3 linked regions of the Callithrix jacchus genome follow. The protein of the gene in region 2 purifies or fractionates together with the protein of the main gene of each other region. This does not show direct contact. Links are inferred from orthologs where the notes say so. Each region holds a gene or a part of one and is shown on either strand. Other genes may lie near its edges. The genes, in order: CEP170, WDR62 and MAPK8.

Evidence for each region.
Region 1: the proteins of WDR62 (region 2) and CEP170 purify together in Homo sapiens (affinity purification with mass spectrometry; 3 studies listed by BioGRID and IntAct, with this or other methods). This does not show direct contact. The link is inferred for Callithrix jacchus from reciprocal best matches to the Homo sapiens genes WDR62 and CEP170.
Region 3: the proteins of WDR62 (region 2) and MAPK8 purify together in Homo sapiens (affinity purification with mass spectrometry; 5 studies listed by BioGRID and IntAct, counting the BioPlex papers as one, with this or other methods). This does not show direct contact. The link is inferred for Callithrix jacchus from reciprocal best matches to the Homo sapiens genes WDR62 and MAPK8.

The regions. Positions count from the first base shown.
Region 1 is NC_133520.1:43,011,836-43,019,905, reverse strand, and holds the end of CEP170 (centrosomal protein of 170 kDa), read right to left. Parts: intron 6,781-8,070; coding exon 6,687-6,780; intron 5,627-6,686; coding exon 5,575-5,626; intron 4,038-5,574; coding exon 3,748-4,037; 3' UTR 1,737-3,747; downstream 1-1,736.
Region 2 is NC_133523.1:32,230,508-32,238,577, forward strand, and holds part of WDR62 (WD repeat-containing protein 62), read left to right. Parts: intron 1-556; coding exon 557-648; intron 649-2,466; coding exon 2,467-2,592; intron 2,593-3,878; coding exon 3,879-3,946; intron 3,947-4,026; coding exon 4,027-4,148; intron 4,149-5,355; coding exon 5,356-5,431; intron 5,432-6,126; coding exon 6,127-6,238; intron 6,239-6,328; coding exon 6,329-6,392; intron 6,393-7,937; coding exon 7,938-8,070. UniProt on the Homo sapiens protein: Required for cerebral cortical development. Plays a role in neuronal proliferation and migration.
Region 3 is NC_133513.1:40,580,117-40,588,725, forward strand, and holds the start of MAPK8 (mitogen-activated protein kinase 8), read right to left. Parts: upstream 5,321-8,609; 5' UTR 5,169-5,320; intron 3,902-5,168; exon of another isoform or gene 3,708-3,901; intron 1-3,707. UniProt on the Homo sapiens protein: Serine/threonine-protein kinase involved in various processes such as cell proliferation, differentiation, migration, transformation and programmed cell death.

The sequences.
Region 1 (8,070 bases), on a different chromosome or scaffold from region 2:
ATAATAACTCTAAAATATTTTAATTAACAAAATCTACAAAATGTTTGTTGCACATCGCAGGATGTACAAGAGTTAAGAGAATTAAATATTCAACAAGAATCAGTTCCAGGTGGTGAGGTGTTATTAGAGACAGAATGTGGCTGGCGTGGAACTTTTCCTTATGGTCAAGATTGAGGAAAAGAAGCAACAAGAATCAGCCAAAGAACTAATATCACGAATTCCATTTCTGTTTAAGAGGCCTTGACACATTTCTGCATGTAGGCTAGGATACTTTTAAAGCACTGGGGTAAAACACAAAAACAGCAACCATGTAGATTTTGAAATTACGATTAAACCATGTAAACAGCTATGTTTCGTTAAAGATTTATAGGAACAAGCAGGCTTGGCTGTTGTCACATGAGAGACCATTACTTGAAGTTTCATAAATCTTTCCCCAACACTTACTGGCAGCCACACGTCTGTGGCTGTTGGCCCCCACCTGTCCCCCTTACCTAAACATGTAAGACACACACACAAAAAGCCTGCATTTGCCTCCTAGGTGTAGAGATCCCATTCTATCTCACCTTAGCTGAATTGTTTCCATGGCTATCTCCCAACAGAGTTTCTTGAAGGAAGTACATACATCTCAATTAATGCTGATTCACTTAAATACACTTTTTAGTTTCTAAGAACTTTCTGTGTTATGCAAACACAATGAAAGAAAGATTTGAAATGACAGAGACTCAGAGAAAGCTTTTTCAAGGACACTTCACATAGTCGAAGGCCACTTAGACTAAAAGGGACTTGGATAAATACAACAGTATCCTAATTTTGCAGATGAGATGGAGGAACACACTGATAACTAGTAGGGAGTGGGTCTGGATCTCACACTTCCAGGTTTGGTTTCATGTCAGGCAGAGACATGGCAAGTAAACCCAAGGAGAGATGAAAGAGGCAAAACAGCAGAGATGTTTCAAAGCAAAGGGTCTACCCAGGAAATGAAGATTACTTTAGTTACCAGGGAAGAAACGTGTGTGTGTCATGGGGGAAGGGTAAAATGCATATAGGTGGCACAGCCCTACATGGTGCAGTCAAGTGAAGGAAGCTTTATGAAGTGGTTGGTGGGACCATGAAGAATGAACGGACTATGGGAAAGCAAGAAGGAAGGGCGGAGGGAGGAAGATGCAGGGAACAGAATGATGAAAAGCTCATGATGGTCAAGAAACTTGTAAATGGTGGTAGATATTGTACTGGGACACAGAGATACGCACATAAGAACAGGGCTAGGTCACACAAAGTCTCAAAAGGTTACTCTGTGAGACTTAGGATTTTGAATAGCAATAAGGAGACATTTAAGATTCTTGAGCTTGAGTGATAGGGTTAAAAAAGCAGTACAAATTGATAGTTATCAAATTTCAGATGACCAAGGTATTTTAAATTTCTATTTTATTCCCCAAATATATCACTGTCATAAAGCTTTCTGATGATCTAAAGCTGGTTAAAAATAAAGACTTTGTACATGCACATTACATCAGGGCATTAAGATAAGTGAATTATACTGATCATAATTTGCTAAGATTTTTTTCTTTAAATAGTCAAAATAAGAGATTTCAGTTATCACATATTAACAAAAGTGGAGGATTCTTTCTTTGGCTATATTATAAGCCTTGGGAAATGGTTTATAAATATTCATTTGATAAGTTGATGAAGTATTAGCAAGCAAGATGGTAAAAGAAAAAATATATACAATCATCATATAAAGTTCCAGAAACACTTTATTTAAAAATGGAGTTGTAAATGCATAACAAAATAACATAAGTAATAAATGTAACAAAAATAAATAAGGAGAATAATGTATTCATACAAAATTAAAATAACATAGTAAAAGGCCAAATGTTTATAATTGAACCAAACTTGTAAACACTTAAACAAGAATGTAAGCAGAGTAGATTCTAATATTTTCCTAAACTCCTTACCTTCTACTTCCATGTGGATATAATCAGTACCCAAGTATTAAAAAGAGGGAGCAATGCTGATTACTTTGTCCAACTTTTTTTTCAAATGGATTGACCCTGTTTTAACATTTTGTTTATTCCTTCAAAGCATTTGTATCTTTCCATTTATGTTCTTTAAAACCTTCTTTCAGTTTTCCTTTATTAGACAGAATGGGGAATTTAGCTTTACAAGGAGAATAGTTCATTTACTTTTTTTTGAATTTAAAGAAAAATATGAGATCCATTATACTTTTGTTTTTATATCTCTATAAAAAGATTTTTTGTATCTTTATTAATTGATCCAACAATACTGGATTTAGAAAATCCTGTAAAGTCTTGAAGTGTATAGAGTTACACTGTTTCTTAAAGCGAATATAGCACAGGATTATTGTGGAAATATTAAAGACCATGTCATAAAAGTTGCAGTTTAACCTTTATAGACTGATGGGGTCAAGGGGGAAAATCCAGGTCTACTTTCAATCATATTTAACTGAATTAAGATACACCCCAATTATAGTGTTCTGGAAACACAAAGGTAATTACGTTTTAAAGTCATCCAAATGTGAACTTACTGGAAAGAGAAAAAACAAGTTGAAAGAAGAAATTTTTCACAGGCCTCTTGTTTAGTGGCACAGGCCAAAGGCCTCTGTCGCTGTCTTGCAGGGTCCTTATAAACGTGTAAGATAGACAGGATTTACTACTGAGTCCTACAGGGAAACACACAGAAGCAATTCATTGCTTGGGAGTGAAACTACCAACTAATCTTATGACTACTGGTTCTCCAATTCCCCTAATGAAGACAATTTTAACCTCATGATCATTTCAAGGGAATTTTTTTTTTTCAACTGTCACATATAAACTTGGTAACACAGGACCAATATACATGTTCTTAGTTTTAAAAATATACTCCACCTAAACTATCTGTCTAGTTTAATCTTTCTAGTTATCATTTTACCTAAAATGAGAGACAAAATCTTATTTTCATTAAAAAAAATGAAAAAAAAGTGCCAAATCGATGTTTTTGAAAGTGGAGTAAAACACTGTGGGGTTAAAACAAGTACAGTATTATCAATCTCCTATGTACAAAAAAGACGGTTAGTCCTTATTGATATATAGATATGTCCACCTACCACTCCCAGCAAATCTTAGTGCAAACATAATAGTTAAGTTCCGTAAACCCCAAGACAATTTACGTTATCAACAAAGTTATATAAATCACATCTATGTTGGAAAATTTTAGGACACAGTATGACTGTTGTGAAAGGTCTGCTTTTCTGCGGATAGTAGTTACGTCATTGTGTCCAGTGGTAATGAGTACTAATATAAATCCTATTATTAAGAAGCAAATAGAATGGTTTAACAAAGCTGTACAGATGAAGAAGTCCATTTCAGGGAGCAGCTTGGCACAGGAGACATAGGGGTTCAGAAATGTTGGCTATTTAGTTTGCTTGTAGGTCACAGCATGGCTTAAAAAAAAGATCTATGAAGGGAAAGGGTGTAATAATAAAATTCAATTTGAAAGTCGTAAGACCATAAAAGATGACACTGCCACAATCTGCTTTTTCCCTATTTGTGCATCAAGTGGTTATCTAAATGGTTTGAAAGGATTGACATACTACATTATATGTAGAAAATAAATAAATAAAATGAAGAAGACAGGGATTACAAGACTGTAGTTGACCAAGCTGTATTGTTTTGTGTACGTCAACACTATGCTGCTTCCAATATTCCTAGCAATTCCACAGGTAATGATTTTTCAGTAATCAAGAGAAAGTCATTCATGTACTATGACATCTTCCTCTTCCCCATCAGGGTTGAATCTATTGAAATGTATACTGAAATCAGCCTCAGATTCAGCATTCTCAAATTCAGCTGAGACTGAAATAGCAGCAGGATGAAGAGCCCTAGCTTCTGGCTGGCAAAGTGTTGGTGTCTGACCAGGGCTGCCGTGGTTATTCACAGGGCTGGACTTCTGTTTTGGTGGAGATGGCAAGATAGCACTGGGAAATCCCATGTTGTTCAGAGCCTCCAAAGTTCCATCAGGATCAATCATAGCATTGATTGCTAAAATAGGGGAAAAGGATGTAATTCCAGATGCAGTTACATTCAGATATGAACATTGTTTATGATTTGGATAATATTTAAACTATCAGTGTGTATATGATCTTAAATGTGGCTACTCTTCCAATACTATATTTAAAACTCCATTCTGAGTAATTCCATAGCTCTGTATTGTCAATTACCGAGCCCTGAATACTTTCTCTGGGTCCTTTGATGTGTCACTTCCGGGCATTTCAGAGATTTTTAAGTCTGGCATTTGAAGATGTAGAATTCAAGAAAAATCTTTTTGAAATTTGTTTTCATTATTGTGAGAGGATGCAGAAAATAATTATTATGATTTTTAATAAACATCTAAGCCGTATTTATCACTCAGATTACTGGGGGTTTAGTTGCTAAGACAGCGTTCAGAGTAACCTCAAGTCTGGAGAGGCCAGAAGAACATCAGCATACTCTGAATGCTACCATAGAATATTGTGACTTAGCTTGGCCAGAGTGCTAGGGTATCAGCTGTCTATACCACTGAGGGCAGCCTGCAAAGCCAAGCAGACTTTGCTACCTGTATGGGAGGGGTCAGCTAAAGATCAGCTTTCAATCCAAAAGATCTTTGGGTTGACATGGAAAGTTCTCAGGCTGTGATTTTCAATTTGGCATTGGGCAGAGTAGAGAGCTGGGAGAAGGAAGTAACACAGATAGAAGAATCATTTTGAAGGCCCTTTTAAAAGTATACCCCAGTCTACCAGCTAACAATCATTATGTTAGCAAGCTACTTTTACTCATGGGGTATATCATAACCCTTAGGTGTGTTGGGGCTGAATAAAGGTTAAAAATCATTTCCATAGGCTCCACATATGAACCTATGATTATTCAATAAATAAAGACTCAGTAGAATTAGCAGTTGGCTATAGAACCTGCTTATTGTACCACTGGGGACTTCTAGGTCAAGAAGTCCTAGGCATACATAGGCATTAATGCATAATCCAGCTCTGACACAAACCAAACAATGTCCCTGTCACAGTCTCTCATTTTCTTCTCTCCTTTCTCTTTTGGTCCTTATGTGTAATATGTACTCATTGCTTGTCAACCCAAGCAACTATTATTTGTATCAGAATACTGTTGTAGGTTATACCACTAACGTAATTTAAGAATTGTCAAATCACATAAATAATGCTAATTATCAAGCTGTTTTAGCTACATATACAACTTTATTATTTATTTTTTACTTATTATTTATACCTAATACATACAAAATTTCAATTAGTTATAACATCTAGCCTAATGTCAAACCTATAAACTAAAATATGCTCATTTATCTTTATTATATTTTTAATTTTTAAAAATATAATATAATTTTTAAAAATATAATATAATTAAAAAAAGTTCCTTTGGATGAGTAACGTGAATATGTAGAACTGTATTTTATGTATGTCATTGCTTTTAATCAAATAATATCCTAATAATAAGAATATTTTAAGAAACACAACTTAGAAGGCACTTATTGTAAATTATTAGCTCTTTATACTTAGTTCAGTAGTAAATTTACCTTGTAGCTGCTTTTCAACTCTTTTCAACTCCTGTAAGATAGAAGAAATCTCCTGTAGGGAAAGCAGTAACAAAAGTTAGCTTACTTTAGCTACATGTTACCAGTTTACAAGCAATGAATTTCACTCTCATTTTATTTGGAAAACTTAACATTATCTACATGGTACTACATTAATAGTAACATGTATGAAATAATTATGGTATCTAGTAAACAAGATTCAAATTAAAATATTTAAACATTTGAAATAGAATAACTTTTTCAATGAGATGATTGCAGCAGACGTAAAGTTTAAAGTCATTTATACTATTTAAGCAAAACAATTTTTTCTTTTTTGAGATGGAGTCTCACTCTGTTTGTTGCCCAGACTGGAGTGCAGTGGCATGATCTTGGCTCACTGTAACCTCATCCTCCCAAGTTCAAGCGATTTTCTTGCCTCTGCCTCCCAAGTAGCTGGTATTAGAGGCACAAACCACCATGCCTGCCTGATTTTTATATTTTCAGTAGAGATGGGGTTTTGCCACATTGATCAGGCTGTTCTTGAACCCTTGGACTCAAATTATTCACCCTCATTGGCCTCCCAAAGTACTGGGATTACAGGTGTGAGCCACCGTGTCCCGCCACAAAGATTTTTAAAGATTCTTACTAATCAACCTTGCAATGACTATGCAAAAGTGCCTACGCATTATCTTTGTAAAAACATATAAACTGCAACCTCAATATTAGGATTATATTCTGAGCAATGAAGATCTGTACAAATTCTTTTAAAAAGGAGACAAGCATTATATCAAGTAAGTAAACAGAAACAACTTCTGTCAACTTAATATTTTCACATTAAATTTGGTGTTCTTTAAAAATTTCATGTTTGTAAGTATTACAAGAACAACAATACATACTAGTAAGGAACACAAAAGACTCCTCCTTAAACCCTCTGCAACTTTGAAACAATCAACATTTTAAACCTGTGAGTCAGTTGAAGAAATAAAATTTCCCCAAATTTTGCATTTATATCTTCTTTTGACAAAGTAAATCAATGAACAACCCAAAAAATAAGGGCCTTTCTCCCAAAATAAAACTCTCTTAAAATGTTGTAACTTCAAGAGAAATCATGGTACCATGCTTGAGGTTTTCACGATGGGAACTTCACTTTCGGCTCTCAGTTTGCTTTCTATGTCATCCCAGTTCCGATCTTTGTCTTTAAATAATATTCTATAAATCAAAAAAGTAAGCGTATAACTTTTCCTATTTTTAAAAACCTATTACTTTTTTAATAATATCAAAACAATGTATCTTTTCAGAGGTACACAAATTAAAAAAAAACAACCATTGCATAAGTCGAGAATGAAAATATGAAGCCAACAATACCAATTAATTCAGGTATATGAGATCCATATTGAAAAGTAACTGAATACTTATTGATACATGCATAAACTCTTTACTGTTTATCTTATTCTTTACTGAAAACAAAACATAAAACAAATGTAAACGATGATATGACTTCAAAACTATAATATTTATAATTAACAATACAGCAATGCCTTCTTATCCATGGTTTTAGTTAGTGGCAGTCAAGCATGGTCCAAAACTATACAGTATTTCAGGAGAGTGAGACAGAGAGAGAGAAAGAGACCACATTCACATGACTTTTTTTTAACAGCATATTGTTATAATGTTCTATTTTATTATTAGTTACTGTTGTTGATCTCTTATCATAGGCATGTATGTGTAGGAAAAAGCGCAGTATATTAGGGTCTAGAACTATCCGTGGTGGCAGGCATCCAGTGGGGCATCCTGGAACAACAGGTATCACCTGAGTATAAGCAGAAACTACCTGTAACTGTTCCCATAAAGCAAATGTACTTTTGTTCAGACAGAATATATGCAGTATAGGAATAAGGGAGATGAAGACAGGCTGAATTAGGTCTAAACGATTGTGTCTGTTAAGACTTCTTTATACAGGAGTAAGCACCTTATGGATCAAGCAAAGTGTGAATATTATTTTAAAGACTGCAGATTGGGAGTACTGTACTTTTCCTTAAAAATGGTTAATTCTTGTCAGTATATTTGAACCTAATACCTATTAAAAATTAGGAAATTAGGATGTTATCCTTTTGATAAAAACAATTCCCAATAATTATCCTATATTAGAAACCAACTTCAAATAACATAAAATAAAGGGCCATAAAATTTTGATGTGTCTTTCAAATGTGGGACACTTGTCTAACACTTCAGAATCTATCAGACATGATTCAGCAGTTTTAGAAAGATGTAAATACTAGCTACTTTTTTGGTATCTTTTTAAATTTCTTCAGTAAGTCTGGAAATCTAGTTCATAGTCTTATATAAACTGCACAACCTCACGTCGATTTATTACTACTGGAAGCTGATCAGCATTTAAGTTGTAAACCAAGTTAATATTTGTACTGTTATTTCTTCAAAGATCAATATGCTTACCTTATTTAAAAAGATGAAATTCATTAACATCACATCAAGTCTGGA
Region 2 (8,070 bases):
CGCTGGCCTGAACACTGTTGACCAATTTAATCCTCTCACCAACCCTCTGATATAAACATTATTGGCACGAAGTGTCTGGACCAAGATCACACGGGTAGAATGGAGAAGCTGGGATGACCTGATGACTGATTTCATTTGGGGAGAATGAGGAAGGTCTAGATTTAATTCTCTTTTAAGAATGAGAGACTGGAATCAAATGTTCTCATCCATACTCCTATGCTGGACTATGGTCTCCAGCCCCACCCCAGGGACCACCTCTGATGCAGCCCTGCATGTGTGCCTGCCCCTCTATAGGACTGTCCTAGGTCCCTGGGGCTATGTTCTGGCCCATACACCATAAGGGGCTGCTATCTGCTGAAGCGCCCCCTGGCTTAACATGGCTCCCTTTACGATGGCAGTTTTCTAAATGAGAAAAGTGGTTGTGCATCTGTAGAGTATTTGGCCATGATAAGGGGTTCTTATGTTGCTGGCCTGGCCATTCTGACCTTTCCTAGTAGTGGCAGAGCGCAAGGGGGCTGGGGTGTGGGGGCTTTAGCAGGCAGTCTATGTCTCCCAGGATCCACGAGCTGCACTTCATGGATGAGCTGGTCAAGGTGGAGGCCCATGATGCTGAGGTGCTGTGCCTGGAGTACTCTAAGCCGGAGACCGGTGAGCCCACAGTGGGGATGGAGTGGGTGTCAGGCAGGGAGGAGCCACCTTGGCAGAGCCACAGAAAGGAGTAGTTGGTGTCTGGTGGGACTGTGGATGGCAGCTGGGAGTCTTGTGTTTGGTAAGGGCCCCTGTTGCTGGACCCCGAAACCAGAGCGGCTGGGACTCAGCTTGACTTGCCCGCTGCTGGTGCCAGCCCCCAGCCAACACGGTAGATGTATGAATGAGTGAATTCTGAATGAGCTCATCCTCTACTGGAGAAGATAGATTGATTGTTAGGCATTCTTTTCTTTTTTGTTTTTATAAATTTTTTTGTATTTTTAGTGGAGATGGGGTTTCACCATGTTGGCCAGGCTGGTCTTGAACTCCTGACCTCGGGTGTTCCACCCACCTCAGCCTCCCAAAGTGCTGGGATTACAGGCATGAGACACCGCACCCAGCCTAGGCATTATTTTCAAAAAATTTGAAGCTTATAGAAATATTGGGAGAATATTATAATGAACACCCACCCACCTGGGCTTCACCCAAATTCCTCAAATTTTTTTGTTTGTTCTTTTTTTGAGATGGAGTCTCGCTCTGTCACCCAGGCTAGAGGTCAGTAGCACCATCTTGGCTCACTGCAACCTTCGCCTCCAGGATTCAAGTGATTCTCATGCCTCAGCCTCCCAAGTAGCTGGGATTACAGGCATACCACCATGCCTGGCCAATCTGTATTTTTAGTAGAGATGTGATTTCACCATGTTGGCCAGGCTGGTCTCAAACTTGACCTCAGGTGATCCATCTTCCCTGGCCTCCCAAAGTGCTAGGATTACAGGGGTGAGCCACCGTACCTGGCTTTTTTTTTTTTTTAATGGGACAGAGTCTCACTCTGTCACCCAGGCTGGAGTGTAATGGCACCATCTCGGCTCACTGCAACCTCCTTCTCCCGGGTTCAAGTGATTCTACTGCCTCAGCCTCTCGAGAGTCACTGAGATTACAGGCACCCCCCCCCCACCACACCCAGCTAATTTTTGTATTTTTAGTAGAGATGGGGTTTCACCATGTTGGCCAGGCTGGTCTCAAACTCCTAACCTCAGGTGATTTGCCTGCCTTGACCTCCCAAAGTGCTGGGATTACATGGCATGAACTACCATGCCCGGCTCCTCAAGATTTTTTCTAGGCTGGACACTATGCCTTAATCCCAGCACTTTGGGAGTTACGGAGTTGGTGGAATTAGGTCCTCATGTGATTTTCCCCATGCTCTTCTTTCATTCTCCCATGCCCCATGACCTGTGCCCCACCAACTTGTCTTTATACATCTCTTCACTCAATTTGCCTCTCCTGATCTCCTCTCTGCCTGGGGTCATGTTGTTAAGCCTCAGGCATAGCAAGTGACCAGAGTAGGGAAGGCTGGTGGCAGATGCGAGTCTGGCCACAGGCAGTCAATAGGACCTGGGCAAGGCCCAGGTAGCCTGACCTCAGAGGGTGAAAGGGCAGTGGTTTCAGGAGAGACTGAGAGGTTGCCAGGGATTTACCTGGTGTGCCAGGGAGTCGGACCCAGCAGGCAAGAGTGCTTGGCTCTGCTGGGGTGTCTGCTGTGGCTGTCCCTGGAGGAGCACCCATTGAGACTCATCCTCCCTGAGCTGGTGGTGAGGAGGTGAAATGTCAGGGTGTAAGGGCCCTGGGAAAGACCACGCAGAACTGAGGAAGTGACCCTTGCTGGGCTTGGGCCAAGTTGGCCCCCTTCTCCAAGACTGGGCAGCGCAGTCACACTGCCCTTTGGGAGGCCAGGGCACCCAGGCAGCCTTCAGGAACCAATCTCATCCTTTCCTCTCACAGGGATGACCTTGCTGGCCTCAGCCAGTCGGGACCGGCTGATCCATGTGCTGAACGTGGAGAAGAACTACAACCTGGAGCAGACGCTGGATGACCACTCCTCCTCCATCACCGCCATCAAGTTCGCTGGTGAGCCCCTTCCTTCCTGCTCCCTGTGCCCTGCTAGCTACCCTGCTAAAAAAGGATTTGTTCTTTTAACTCTCCTGTCAAATAGTATCCAAATAAGTGAATACAGTGTCTGTATACAACATAAAGAATAATGACCTGGGCAGGGAACGGTGGCTCAGTCCTGTAATCCCAGCACTTTGGGAGGCTGAGGAGGGTGGATCACCTGAGGTCAGGAGTTCAGGACCAGACTGGCCTACATGGTGAAACACCATTTTTGCTGAAAATAAAAAATTAGCTGGACATGGTGGTACACCTGTAATCCCAGCTACTTGGAAGGCTGAGGTGGGAGAATTGCTTAAACCTGGGAGGTAGAGACTGCAGCGGGTCATGCTTCCTCCCCTATATGGGGCTTACTCCCTTCTGTGAGCCAATGACTCTCCTTGAGCAACATCTAATATTTGTATGTCAGGCCTGGACCGTCTCTCAAATATTCTGTCATGAAGGAGCATGTCTGATGTGATGAGACCCTAAGAGTTTTATATTTGTTCTGCCTTTTCATTCTCACCAAACTCTTATTCTGTAAAGAAATGAGAATAGTAAAAGCAAGAATGTTTATAGTACTTGCCATGTTGCAGCCCCTATTCCAATGACTTCATACTACTCTCCAGGGAAGGGACTGTCACGACGCCCATTGTATGGACAGGAAGCTAAGGCTCAGAGGGGAGGCCCAGGTTCAGAGCTGTGTTTAAGAGCTTTGACTCTAGCACCAGAAAATGCCTGAGTTCAGTCCTCTCCCTGTCCTCTCTGTGTACCTTGGGACAAGGACTCTGTGAACCTCTGTGTTCACGCTTGTCCAGTGGAATGGGTGGTGAGCATTCAGGAATACTAGGCCCATGCATGGGGACTGGCCGGCTCGTTTGGATCTTGAAATTGATCTTGATGGCATGAGCCTCCCAGCCTGTCTCCACTGGTCCCTACTATAGTCCTGCCTCTACTCTGCTACTCAAGTCACCTATCTCAATCCCAGACTGGAGAGAGTGTCCCCTCTTTGTCCCCAGCCTTTGTTTCCCTATATGTCCTTGCTCTGCAGAGCCAGCCTTCCCCACAGCTCCACCTGTGCTCCCTCACACACACAGCTCATATCTCACAGAGTCCCATCCAGACCCAGCACCCACCTCACCTCCTCCAAGAAACCTTCCTAGATCCCAGTACAATTGATTGAAGGCCCTTGCAGTGGAGGTCCCCAGCTAGGAGCCCCTGCCCATGTGGCCCAGCCCTGCCTAACACACAGCCACTTCCTCCCCCAGGCAACAGAGATATCCAGATGATCAGCTGTGGGGCTGACAAGAGCATCTACTTTCGCAGCGCCCAGCGGGTAGGGTGGCATGGCCTGCTTGGGGACTGGGGTGGGGGGGTTATCAGGGGCATTCTCTGAAGGTCCTGCCACCCTGCCAGGGTTCGGATAGACTACACTTTGTCCGTACCCATCACGTAGCAGAGAAAACCACCTTGTATGACATGGACATTGACATCACCCAGAAGTATGTGGCCGTGGCCTGCCAGGACCGCAATGTGAGGTAAGGGGTGGCCTTGGGCCCTTAGCTGGACTGGGCCAGGCTGGTTTCTGAACAGGCACCGGCCTGGTCTGCTTTGTCCTAGGCTGGCTGCTTTCCTCCCTCTGTTCCTCTGGTCCCCAACAAGCTGGGAGGGGATTGAGGGATCCAGCAGGTGTTTCTTGTTTCTTGTTTCTTTTTTTATTCTGTTTTGTTTTGTTTTTTTGAGGCAGAGTCTCACTCTGTTGCCCAGGCTGGAGTGCAGTAGCACCATCTTGGCTCACTGTAACCTCCACCTCCCAGGTTCATGTGATTCTCTTGCCTCAGCCTTCCAAGTAGCTGGATTACAGGTGCCCGCCACCATGCCTGGCTAATTTTTTGTATTTTTAGTAGAGACAAGGTTTTGTCATGTTGGCCAGGCTGGTCTCAGACTCCTGACCTTGGGTGATCTGCCAACCTCAGGTTATCCACCGACCTCAGGTGATCTGCCCACCTCAGCCTCCCAAAGTGCTGGGATTACAGACGTGGGCTACCGCACTGGGCCGCTACCTGGTATTTCTCAGAAGTTGGGCTCTCCCAGGTCTGGTCTCCAGGTCAGCAGAGGGCTTCCTTCCAGCTCTCCCCAGAGCCAGTGTGGGATGACTGAGGTGCTAATGTGGCACATAAACTCCTGCATTCATCCGTATTCTCTGAGCGCCTAGCTGGGCTAGATGGCGTTGGGGTCATGGCAGTGGCCAGGATAGCCCCAGGCCCTGGACTTCGCAGTCCAGTGGAGGGGACATGGCTACCTCACAGCCACAGACAGTGACAGCACAGAGTGGTCAGAGATGGCAGAGCCCAGGGGCCCTAGGGAGATGCCCGACCCCATCTGGGGATCAAGCAGGACTTCCTGGAGGAAGAGACATCTGAGCCTGGGGAGGATGTGGAGGAGCGAGCCAGGGGAAGGCAGAGGGCAAAGGAGTGCAAAGAGGCTCTGCACCTCCTTCCTGACTCCTTATGGGGTGCTGGGCACTGAGCTTGCAGTTTGTAGGGGAGATGGGCATTAACTCAGCGGGTACCCCAGGACACAACTTGAGCTTGAGATGGGGTTTCAGTTTCAGTTTAGGCATCAGATGGGAATAGGAGATAGCAGGGGGCTTCCAGGGGAGGGGAGGACAGCAGGAGCCAGAGGGTGAAGTGGTAGGGCGGGGGCTGGGACCCTGTTTGCCACAACATGCCCCTACTTCCCCAGAGTCTACAACACCGTGAATGGGAAGCAGAAGAAGTGCTACAAGGGCTCCCAGGGTGACGAAGGGTCCTTGCTGAAGGTGAGGATTTGGGGCCCCCTGTCTGCTGCCTTGATGGGCCACCTAGTATGACGGCCCACACCTGAGACCTGTGCCCTTGGTGCTTCCTCAGTGCATTGCACTGGCCAGCACCTTCTCAGGCCTGGATAAACAAGGGTGGTTGCGAGGGGGTGGGGAGAGTGACCCCAGCTGCATTTCCTTTATTTACTGAGCCTTTACCCAAGTGGGGCGTCTAAGTTGGTTCCATTTTGAGTGGCAGCAGGGTATGGTGGAAAGAATCAGAGGCATGGACTCCTCTCCTGTCTTGCCCACACCAGCCATGATCACTCAGGACAAGGGGGGATCTTCTCAGAGCCTCTGGTCTAGGACAGTTATGGGTTCAGGCTCTGCCTCAGGTTGACTGTGTGACCTTGGGCAAGCATCATCTCTTGAGCCTGTTTTATGCCCTGTAAAATGCATGTAAAGACAGCTTGGCTCATGGACTTGTTCTCTGCATGAGTTCATTTTGCACACCTTCAGTGCTTAGCACAGGGCCTAGCTACTGTTGTTACTGCTGCAGTGGTGGTTCATTTCTTCACCTGCTGAATGGGAGTGGGAGCTGCTGCCCTACCAGGGTTCCATGTGCTGTGCATCCAGCATGGGGGAGGTGGGGCCCAGGCCTCACCATAAGGAAGAAGCAGGCAGCTGGAGTAACATGTGGGCCCCTTTCCTGGCAGGTCCATGTGGATCCCTCAGGTACCTTCCTGGCCACTAGCTGCTCTGACAAAAGCATCTCAGTGATTGACTTTTACTCGGGCGAGTGCATTGCCAAGATGTTTGGCCATTCAGGTGGGTGTGCCTCACTGCTTGGGATGCCTGCCCACCCACCCACAGCCTCTGACTCCGAAGGCAAGTGCAGCCTCTCTGCTTTGTTTGCAGAAATTATTACCAGCATGAAGTTCACCTATGACTGTCATCACTTGATCACAGTATCCGGAGACAGGTGGGACAGGCCTGGAGACTGCCCCTGGCCAGGCCTCCCTCTGGGAGTGGGTGGGACATGGACCATGGGAGAGTTGTGGCTCAGATACCATGACCACTTCACTTAGCCTGCCTGTGTAGAGAGCATTTCTGAGCTGCCCAATTTGGATTGTGTGAGTCTTGGTGTCACACCCAGCTGCTAGTTCAGATCCCAGCTCTAGGCTGGGCATGATGGCTCATGCCTATAACCCCAGCACTTTGGGAGGCTGAGGCAGGTGGACCACTTGAGCTCAAGAGTTCGAGATCAGCCTGGGCAACATAGCAAAACACCATCTCTACAAAAAATTAGTCAGGTGTGGTGGCACATACCTGTAGTCCCAGCTACTCAGGAGGGGAGAGACATCCTAAACCTGGTAGGTAGAGGTTGCAGTGAGCCCAGATTGTGCCAGTGCACCCCAACCTGGGTGACAGAGTGAGTCCCTGTCTCAAAAAAAAAAAAATCTAGGCCAGGCACAGTGGCTCATGCCTGTAGTCCCAGCACTTTGGGAGGCTGAGGCAGGCGGATCAGCTGAGTTCAGGAGTTGGAGACCAGCCTGACCAACATGGAGAAACCCTGTCTCTATTAAAAATACAAAATTAGCTGGGCATGGTGGTGCATGCCTGTAATCCCAGCTATTCAGGAGGCTGAGGCAGGAGAATCGCTTAACCCAAGAGGCAGAGGTTTTGGTGAACTGAGATTGTGCCATTGCACTCCAGCCTGGGCAACAAGAGCGAAACTCCATCTCAAAAAAAAAAAACACAAAACAAATCCCAGCTCTGTAACTTATTTTCTTGTCACCTTGAACAGGTTGTTTCCCCTCTCTGAGCTTCAGTTTGCTCCTCTGTAAATGACAACATCGTTTACCTTGAAAATTGTATGGTGAGGCTGGTTGTGGTGGCTCATGCTTATAATCCCAGCACTTTGGGAGGCCGAGGCGGGTGAATTACCTGAGGTCAGGAGTTCCAGGCCAGCCTGGTCAACATGGAGAAACCCTGTCTCTACTAAAAATAGAAAAATTAGCTGTGTGTGGTGGTGCATGTGTCTGTAGTCTCAGCTACTCAGCAGGGGCTAAGGCACAAGAATGACTTGAACCTGGGAGGTAAAGGTTGCAGTGAGCCATGATTGCAACTCTGCACTCTAGCCTAGGCGACAGAGCAAGACTCCATCTCAGAAAAAAGAAAAGAAAATTGTATGGTGAGAAATGAATGAGATGATACACATATATTCTTTGGCACATGGGTGGTGCTCAAGGAAGTCCCATTTGTCACTCCCTTTGATTTACTCCAGTTCTTTCCCACAGCCCCCTCCTTAAGTCTTGATGCCTCCCTAGTAGGCCCTGGTTTGCTGGCATGCCCCAGACCTGAAGCCAAGGGTATGGATGTGGCGAGTCTAGCCCCCTGCACTAAGCTGATGCGGTGTGCTTTCCAGGAGCATCTGGAGGACGGGGCCTAGGCTGCAGGTCAGTGTGGCAGTGGTTCCCATGTTCACTCTTCCTCCGCCTTGTGTGTGTCTCTTCGGCCCCTGCAGCTGTGTGTTTATCTGGCACCTGGGCCCGGAGATCACCAACTGCATGAAGCAGCACTTGCTGGAGATCGACCGCCGGGAGCAGCAGCAGCACATGAAGGACAGGAATTGGAGTGGCCACCCCAGGTCCTGGCAG
Region 3 (8,609 bases), on a different chromosome or scaffold from region 2:
CAGGGCTCAATGAATTGTTGTGGTTGACCAGGTCTTTGACAAATTTGCAATCCTCCCAAAATCAAAGACCCCAATAACACTACATTTAAAAGATATGACAGCATTACATTTTCTTCAGATGTGTCACATGATAAAGCTATTCCCAGCTCCTTTAGATGTCTATAATGAACCTAGGAAAGCTTAGGCAATTTTCTGCTGTGGGAAAAGGCAAAACATCATGAAAATGGCAACTATGTTCCCTTCAATATTTGCTTTTGGAACATTTCCAAATTTTAAGACAGAGAGGATTACTGGTCCAAATAAATCATCTCAGTCAATTCAGATTATATGAGATGATCAAATTTTAAATAAACCCCCCAGAGATGCAGAATGAAACAAATTGCATATTCTGGAGAATTAGAATAGACACTGTGCATTAAACTGATTGGAAGTTTACTTGGCATTTTACATTTGCTCAAAGTTAAAAATAAGTGATAACAAGTTTACTTGGCATTTTACATTTGCTCAAAGTTAAAAATAAGTGATAACAATAGCAAAATCTACGTGAATACTTGTATCTAACATTCCAGGCACCAAACCAGTGCCAGGCACTTTACATGCAGTACCTTATTTAAACCTCACAGCCCTATGAGGTTATGTGCTATTATTATTCTCATTTGACAAATAAAACAGGTCCAAATATGTTATATAACCTGAACTAGCCTTTACCTCAATTACTTAGATTGGAGCATGGATTAGAACCCAGGGCTGACCTTAAAACCCACGCTAGCAATCACTATAAGGTTTGGGTTCCTTAACTTTCTAAAGAATGGCAGATTTTGACTAAAATGGAAATATAATAAAGGGTAACAGCAAACACAGGTATCTATGTGTGATATAACCCACCTCCTTGAAAAAGAATGGAAGCTACTAAGTTTTTCAAAAAGGTGTCTCCTCTCTCTCTACACACACACACACACACACACACACACTCACTCTCTCTCTCTCTCTCTCTCTGTCTCTCTCTAAAAACTGGACTTCAGTGAAATCTGGCCTGCACAGAGATGTGAGGTGGACTTTTGTTTGGCGGGAGCCCTTTCATATAACTATTTTTTTTTTTTTTTTTTGAGATGGGAGTCTCACTGTATCCCCAGGCTGGAGTGCCATGGCGCAATCTCAGCTCACTGAAACCTTCACCTCTCGTGGATTCAAGTAATTCACTGCCTCAGCCTCCCAAGTAGCTGGGATTACATGTGCCTGCCACCACACCCAGCTAATTTTTGCATTTTTAGTAGAGACGGGGTTTCATCATCTTGGCCAGGCTGGTCTTGAAATCCTGACCTGGTGATCTACCTGTCTCGACCTTCCAATCATATATACCTTTTAAAAGAGCATAAATTCACTGTTTAGAGATGCCTTAAGTCTCATCCTTGATTATAATTTTCCTGAGGATCATGATCTCTTCATTTTATTTCTTCTACAAAGTCTCTGTGAGTATAGGGTCTCATGAGAAGGCATGATGCTGTGGAATAAATAAAAATCTACCTTTCCAAGAATCTCTAGCTTATGGTGATGCCTTCTATTTGTTTTCTAACTCTGAATATTAGAGAAAAAAAATTAAACAATTTTTTTTTTTGCTTCTGAAAATTACAAAATTCTAACTTTGATTACTGTTCTTAATTTGGGCTTCTGATTATCACCCAAGAAGGGCTCTTTTTATCCTAGTATGTTTTCTGAAGAACCACCTATATGATGAACAATGCTTCTATTAAAAAAAAGTTCTGACAGCCTCAGTTTATAGTTTTAAAGCCAAAAGAAAATTAAGGCACTTGCCTAAAGCTCCATAACTTGTTGGTAACAAAGTCCAGATGGCAGAAATGAGAAATGAACCTAGGTCTGATTCCTGGATTGCTTTAGTTCCACCTATTGACCTGAATAACAAGGCAACTCTTATTACAATACTCCTGTTACCTTCCAGTCAACTCATTTCTGAAATCAAAGTTCAACTTAACCTGCGTTAGAGTAAGAATGCAAAGCTTCTAAATGTTCAGATAAAGAGCTCATGATTAAGACAATCAGCATCACAGTTCACTGACATAGGCAAATGATTCATATATAAAGCTACGTGGTTATAATTACTTCCTTGGATTACATCAATCAGAAAGGCTACTACCCATACCATTGACTTGACCAGAGACCTCTAGAGAGCTGGAATCTTAATGTCAAGACATTATATTTTGTATTTCCACACATGCAACAAAGCATCCCAACCATGTAGATGACTCAAATATGTCAAAATTCAACCCACTGGCAAAGTGGACCAACAAGTAGCAGGCTCCTACTCAACAACCTCATAGCACTAGGATAGTTGGGAACTATTCATTTAACAACAAATTACTTCAAGTTGTTTCACTGAACACCTCATCCTCACAAGGTCACTTCCGTAATATTAGGCATGGAGCAAACAGTTAAGATTCTAACCACGTTTATTTGTGTACAATTTATTATTGCACTAATTGCCTTTCCAAATGGCATTTCCCCCAGGATCTAAAGGAATATGAAGGATATAGTTTCCAGGACACTTAAAAGGAGCCCTTTTCATACTTATTAAAGGAATATATTTACTAACAGAATCGATGCTATATTTCTTAAAGCATAATTTGAACTGGAATTCTGAGTGACTGCTAATGGGTATAATGCCTCTTCTTTGGGTGATGTTCTGGAATTAGTGGTGGTGATCAATGCACAACTTTGTGAATATACAAAAGACCAATGAAATATATATACTCTAAAGGGTGAATTTTATGATATGTCAATTAAATTACAATAGAGCTATTTTTAAAAAAACAACAATTTGGAATACAAAATAACATAACTCTGGTTCTCTACATAGCCTTACTGTGAGCTACTGCCAAAGGTTTGTCAGTAACCCCCTACTAGAATATGACATACTTTAGGTAAACCAATGAAAGTTTGGTATCTAAAGGATTTTCATCCCTTATCTTTAAATAGTATCATTTTCTTATTTCTTCATTTCTACTTTACATCAAATAATAAGCTCATTAATTAGTTCACTCATTTCGTATTCTTTCAAATCCAAAACAAATGCTACACTGTATTAAATAGTGAAAAATAACTTTAACTTGGATAAATCCATTATTTTGAGTTTTAGGCTCATATTTTGTGCCAATAGTATTAATACAAGTTAGAACTTAAAATCAAACATTTCAAGTAAACATTCCTAAAATATTAGAAATTAAATATTTCTAATAAAACATTTATGTGGTTTCTTTTGCCCTTACTTTTCCACAAAATAAGTGTCACCAAAAACCTTTCAAACAATATTCACAAAATGATAACTGCAATCATTTTAGACCCCTACTGAGATATCAGTTTATGTGTGCCTGTGTGTAGATTACGTACATACACACACAGACATACATACACTAGTACATACACGCACACACCCCACAACCTGCTTTAGTTTATTAATCATATAAAAAAAACTTAGACAAGATTTTATTTTAGGAAAATTAATGACCTACAAGTGATTCAAAAGCCCATGTCATCGTAAAAGATAATGTACATGAACTGATCATTCAGCCATCTGAAGCAACAGTAGCATGAAGCTTCCAAAACTTTATGGAGACCATTTTTTTAAAGTTTGATTTAAAATATTATCAATTATAAAGAGCTTTTCATCAATCCGACTTTTATTGAACACTTACTATATTCCAGGCTAGGTGGTGGAGAAAGAGATGCAAGACAGGCCTGCCCTCAAGGAAGTCCCATTTTGATTGCTTGCTTTTGTCAGGCACAGCACTAAACATGTTCACTTAGAGCATCTGACCTCCTAGGTTTAACGTTAACCACAGCAGGGGAATCTGAGGTAACCATTACAAATGACTGTAAGGCTGCAAGACTGGAAAAAATAAAGTTTAGAAATAAAAGCTGTTGTATGTTTAGACCAAATCTAAGTCTACTTCCTAATATTACACTTGTACTTCCAGATATACTGCTTAAAAAATGACCCAGAATATAACTATACCTTCCTTAGCAGACATGACTTACATAATTGTCTCATTTAAAGGTCCATCTATTGTACTTCAAAGCATCCTCTTCCATGAAAGGATACTTCTCTTTACCTTCAAATCAAACCTCTTCATCTGGGTACGCTACTAAACAGTTGCTGAATGAATGAATGAATGAAAAAAACAGATTTCTAATTGTCAAGAGGGTACTCGCTGGATGCTTATCTCAAAACACAATGGACTGACGGACCAGAATTCTGCTGGAAAAATCACTGAATTTCAGAGGTAAAAATAGTAATCACTGGACAATGCCATGTAGTCAACATATTATTAAATTCGCAGTAAAGACCAGGCGAGGAACTTTCGGGAATAAAAATGAAGTGTTCATCAGGGTACTTTAAAATGGCCTTGGTTCTACCATCTCTGAATTGGGAACACAAATGTGAGACAAAGAGATGGGAGGGCGGGGTGAAAAAGTCAAAAGGTCACCACCGAGTGACCCCCAAGAGAAATGCGCGCTGACCACTGAAGCTCGGGCCGAGCTGGGTGGACACCTCCCGCCCAAGCCACCGGCCTGAGCTCTGCCTCGCAGCCCAGAGCTGAAGGCCACCCCGGCCCTTTTCAGCGCTGCTGCCTGCGTTCGCCCAGAACGTTAGCACAAAGAAACCACCGAGAAGCAAAATACGGTCCCCATGGGCTCGGGGCAGGCTTGGGGACCCGGCGGCAGGAGCGCTCTCCTCGGCTCCTCGCCGCCCGGGAGGCAGCCAGGGAGCGGCGGGCCGCGGAGATGCCTCCGTCCGACCCTCGCCGAAGTGTTTCAGAACTTGCCACCCACCCCCCGCTCCATTTTCTCCTCCCGACTCGGAGGCAGGACCCGCGCAAGGAGGACGCGAGAGGACAGGCGGGCGGGGCTCACGGTGGCGGGCGGGCGGACAGGCGGCCGGCGGAGCGCGCTCAGGTCCCGCAGCCCCACGCCCCCTCGTCCGGCCCCCGCCTCCGCGCCGCTATTGTTCCCGCACCGCCCCCGCCCGCCGCGCGCTCTCGTCCCCACTCTCGGGAGGGGGTCACGGCTGAGAAGGCTGCGGCGGCGACGGCACAATAACATAAACACGGCGGGGCCGCCGGCCGCCCTGGCCCTGCGGCTCCCGCCGCACTCACCCGGCAGCGCAGCGAAAGGCGACAGGGAAGCCCGCCAGCGGAGACAGGGGCCGTCCGGGCGGTCGCCGCGGCCGCTACCCGGCGCAGCTCGCGGCTCAGCTTTCCGAGCCGCGTCGTCCGGCCTCAGCGGCTCCGCTGACTAACAGGGACGCGGGCCGTCACCGCGCACGCCCGCCTACGTCATCGCGCAGGGCCCTGCCCCCGCGCTTCCCGAGCGGCCTGCGGGGCGGGGCAGCCCCGGGGCCCGGATTGCGGGGGCGGGGCGCCGCCCGAGGGCGGGGCTACTCCAGTGGGCCGAGGGACTTGCGGAGGTGGCCTGGAGGCGGAGCCGCGGGGAGAGCCTCCGAGGGCGGTGGTGAGGGGCATGGCCAGGAGCGGGAGGGGCGGGGCCCTGAGGCGGCACGTGTTGGCGCGTGGCACCAGGGGACCGCGTCTGGCTGGCACCGGTAGCCAGGTCCTTGCTTAAGCCTTCGGGCCTCGCTGGCACAGGGTTGAAGGGCAGGTGCGCTTAGGCCAAATATGCCCGGCGAACAGGCACTCTTCCACTCCATACACATCTGAGCGATGAAAAGCTGTTTACCTTGACCAACAGTAGTTCCATTCCGAGGACACCTGTCCGGGTCCCAGCAACCCACAGAGAGATAAGTGTTCTCTTCACCTGCCCTAGAAAAGCTGCCTCCTGTTTTCCCAAAATCCACGTCCTCCGAGATTCCTTGCAAATCCAACTCTTCCCAGATGCCTTGCATTACCTGGCTTACCTCTGAGGCACCACAAAGCGTGTAAATGTTACAGAAGCGATAAATTGACGAGCCCTTTAAATATCCAACAACGGGTGGAAATTACCTACATCAATTCGGTAGAATACATTTTAGCAATTTAAAGGCCATGTGTTCAAGGAATTCTTAACAACATAGAAAAATGTTCACAATATATCATTAAGAGAAAGAAGCACAAAACAGGTCTTATATATAGAATGATCCCACTTAGATACTATATATACACATAGAAAAAACCTGGAAAGAAATACACCAAATTATGTTAACAGTCGTTCATCATTGGACTATGGAATAAAGGGTGACTTGGTTCTCTTTCACACTTTGGGTATTTTCTCATGTTTTCCGAGAATAATAGTTATGTTCACAATCGGAAACAAGTAAGTTACTTTAATAATAAATATATAAATATTTACATATTTATATATTTTTATAAATATATCTATAATGATTTGTTTTTATAATAAATATAATTTTTATAAATATTATATATATATGTATGTTGGGCTGGCCTGTTTCTGGTGATTCTGAAAAGGAACATACAGGTGATTATTCATTAATTCTCATCCCAGTTTCTCTCTCCCTCCTTTTCAACCTTCTTAATTTCCTGCCATCCTTTATTCCTGCAATAATTATTTATTGCATGCCCATTCAGTGCCAGGCAATACAATAGAGTTTACAGATTTAATCACTGTGCTATCAAAGTAATAGCAGTAAACACATGCAAAATTATCACTGTCTTATAATACAAATTGTCAAGGATACATAATATTATGAAACCAGTTAATACACTAGTTAATAGGGGCAGAAAAGATTTCCCTGAGAAACTGTCACTTGAGCTTGGAATGGGTTTGACTAGGCAGAGAATATTTTAGAAGTAACTTTGTATGCAAAGGTCCTGTGAAGAGATTGAGCAGGATAAACTGGAGAAATTCAGGAAAGGCTAGCTCTGCTGGAAGAGCAAACAAGGAGCTATAAGATGAAGTCAGGAAGACTGGTAAAGGGACCAAATGTAGGACAGCCATATTGGCCACGTTGAAAATCTTTTTACCCTAAGTGCAATGGGAAGCCCCTGACATATTCAGCAAAGGGTATGGCATGATTAGAATAGCTTCTTGAAAATATTTCTTACTGGAAAGAGGCCAGGTGGATGTAGGAGTAGTCTAGACCATAGGAAGTAGAGGCTTGATCTAGGATAATGGTCATGGAAATAGTTGATGGACATGGAAAGAGCTCAGAATTATTTAGGATGCTCAAGGGGCAGAACTTGCACATTCTTCAAGTGATGGGTTAGGTAGGGCCATGAAGGCGAGGGAGTCATCAAGGAAAACTTTAAGGTTTCGGGCTTGTGGCCAAGGATGGATGTTAATGCTGGTTCAACAAGATGGAAATCTTGGAAAAGGACCAGACTCCAAATCTCAGAGGATGTGGATTTTGGGAAAACAGGAAGCAGCTTTTCTAGGGCAGGCATGAAAATATCATGAGAGCAGGTTGTTTGGCTGTTTAAAGGCCTTTGAGATGCCCAAAACTGATGTTAAATTGGTGGTTAGATATACAGAGCTGAGGCTCAGCTAGATAAGAGACAAATCATTGACAGTGAGTGATGCCTTGAAGCCTTGGGATGGATGGGTCAGCCTAGGCCTGAGGGAGAGAGGGTAGTGAGTGAAAAGAAGAGAGGGCCTGCAACCAGTCTTGGGGAACTTCAGTGTTAAAGGGCCACAAAGGGGGAGATGAGTCTGTGATGAGCTGTCAGGAAGATGGAAGGATAACCGGGAGAGAGGTGTTCAAGAAGAAAGTACTGATCAATAATATTAAACATAACAGGAGGCTTGGAATCCTGGAGTAATAGAACCAGAAATGAGAGTGGGCGGGGAAATGAACGGGAGGTGAGAAAATAAAGGTGGTGAACATGGATGAGTCAGGCAGTGAAGTAGGATACAAGCTTATTTTACCTCTGATGGTAAGACTGTTGAGAGGGAGAGGTTGAATACACACAGAAGAAAAGGAAGAAATATATGTTTCCTGAGAAAACGGGGTGTGATTGGGCCACCCAGCCAGAGGTATCGGCCAGTACCTCCTACTCTTCACCAGATAAATTAAAGACCTGGAAGTAACAAAAAAACCAACACAACACTTAGAGCTGTTGTGAAGTGAGGGGAGTTGCTGGGAGCAGAGCTCCAGAGTTTCATACCCAGTTCTGTAATGCTATCGTTAATAACGACCTCCATCTCATTCCACAGGGCAAGCTTCTGACTTAGCGTCAATCTACCATGGTCAGCTTCTGATTGTCTACATCTAGAAAGAACATTCCACATATTTACATGTGTACATTTGTGTGTTTGTGTGTGTGTGTATGATTTCAGAAAGCATTTTTCTATTTCTAATGGAATGTAATTATCTCAGATAGTCTGTAAATTCAAAATGCTTTTTGTAACCCAGATGCAGTGTTGGGCCTCCTTCTTCTCATACAATTCTTCCTTGTCAAACTATTGGAGTTCCTTGTTAACCTGTTGAGGGTCTGACTCAGAAAAAGAGGAAAACATAGTGAATTCATGTTTCTTGTCTCTTGTTTCAGGGGAACTGTCTTGGAGACAGCTGGTCTTTGGATCCCTCTGAGGCTGGAATGGGGAAAGGAGAGAAGAGGAACTGTAGGCCTTTCAAACTCAGT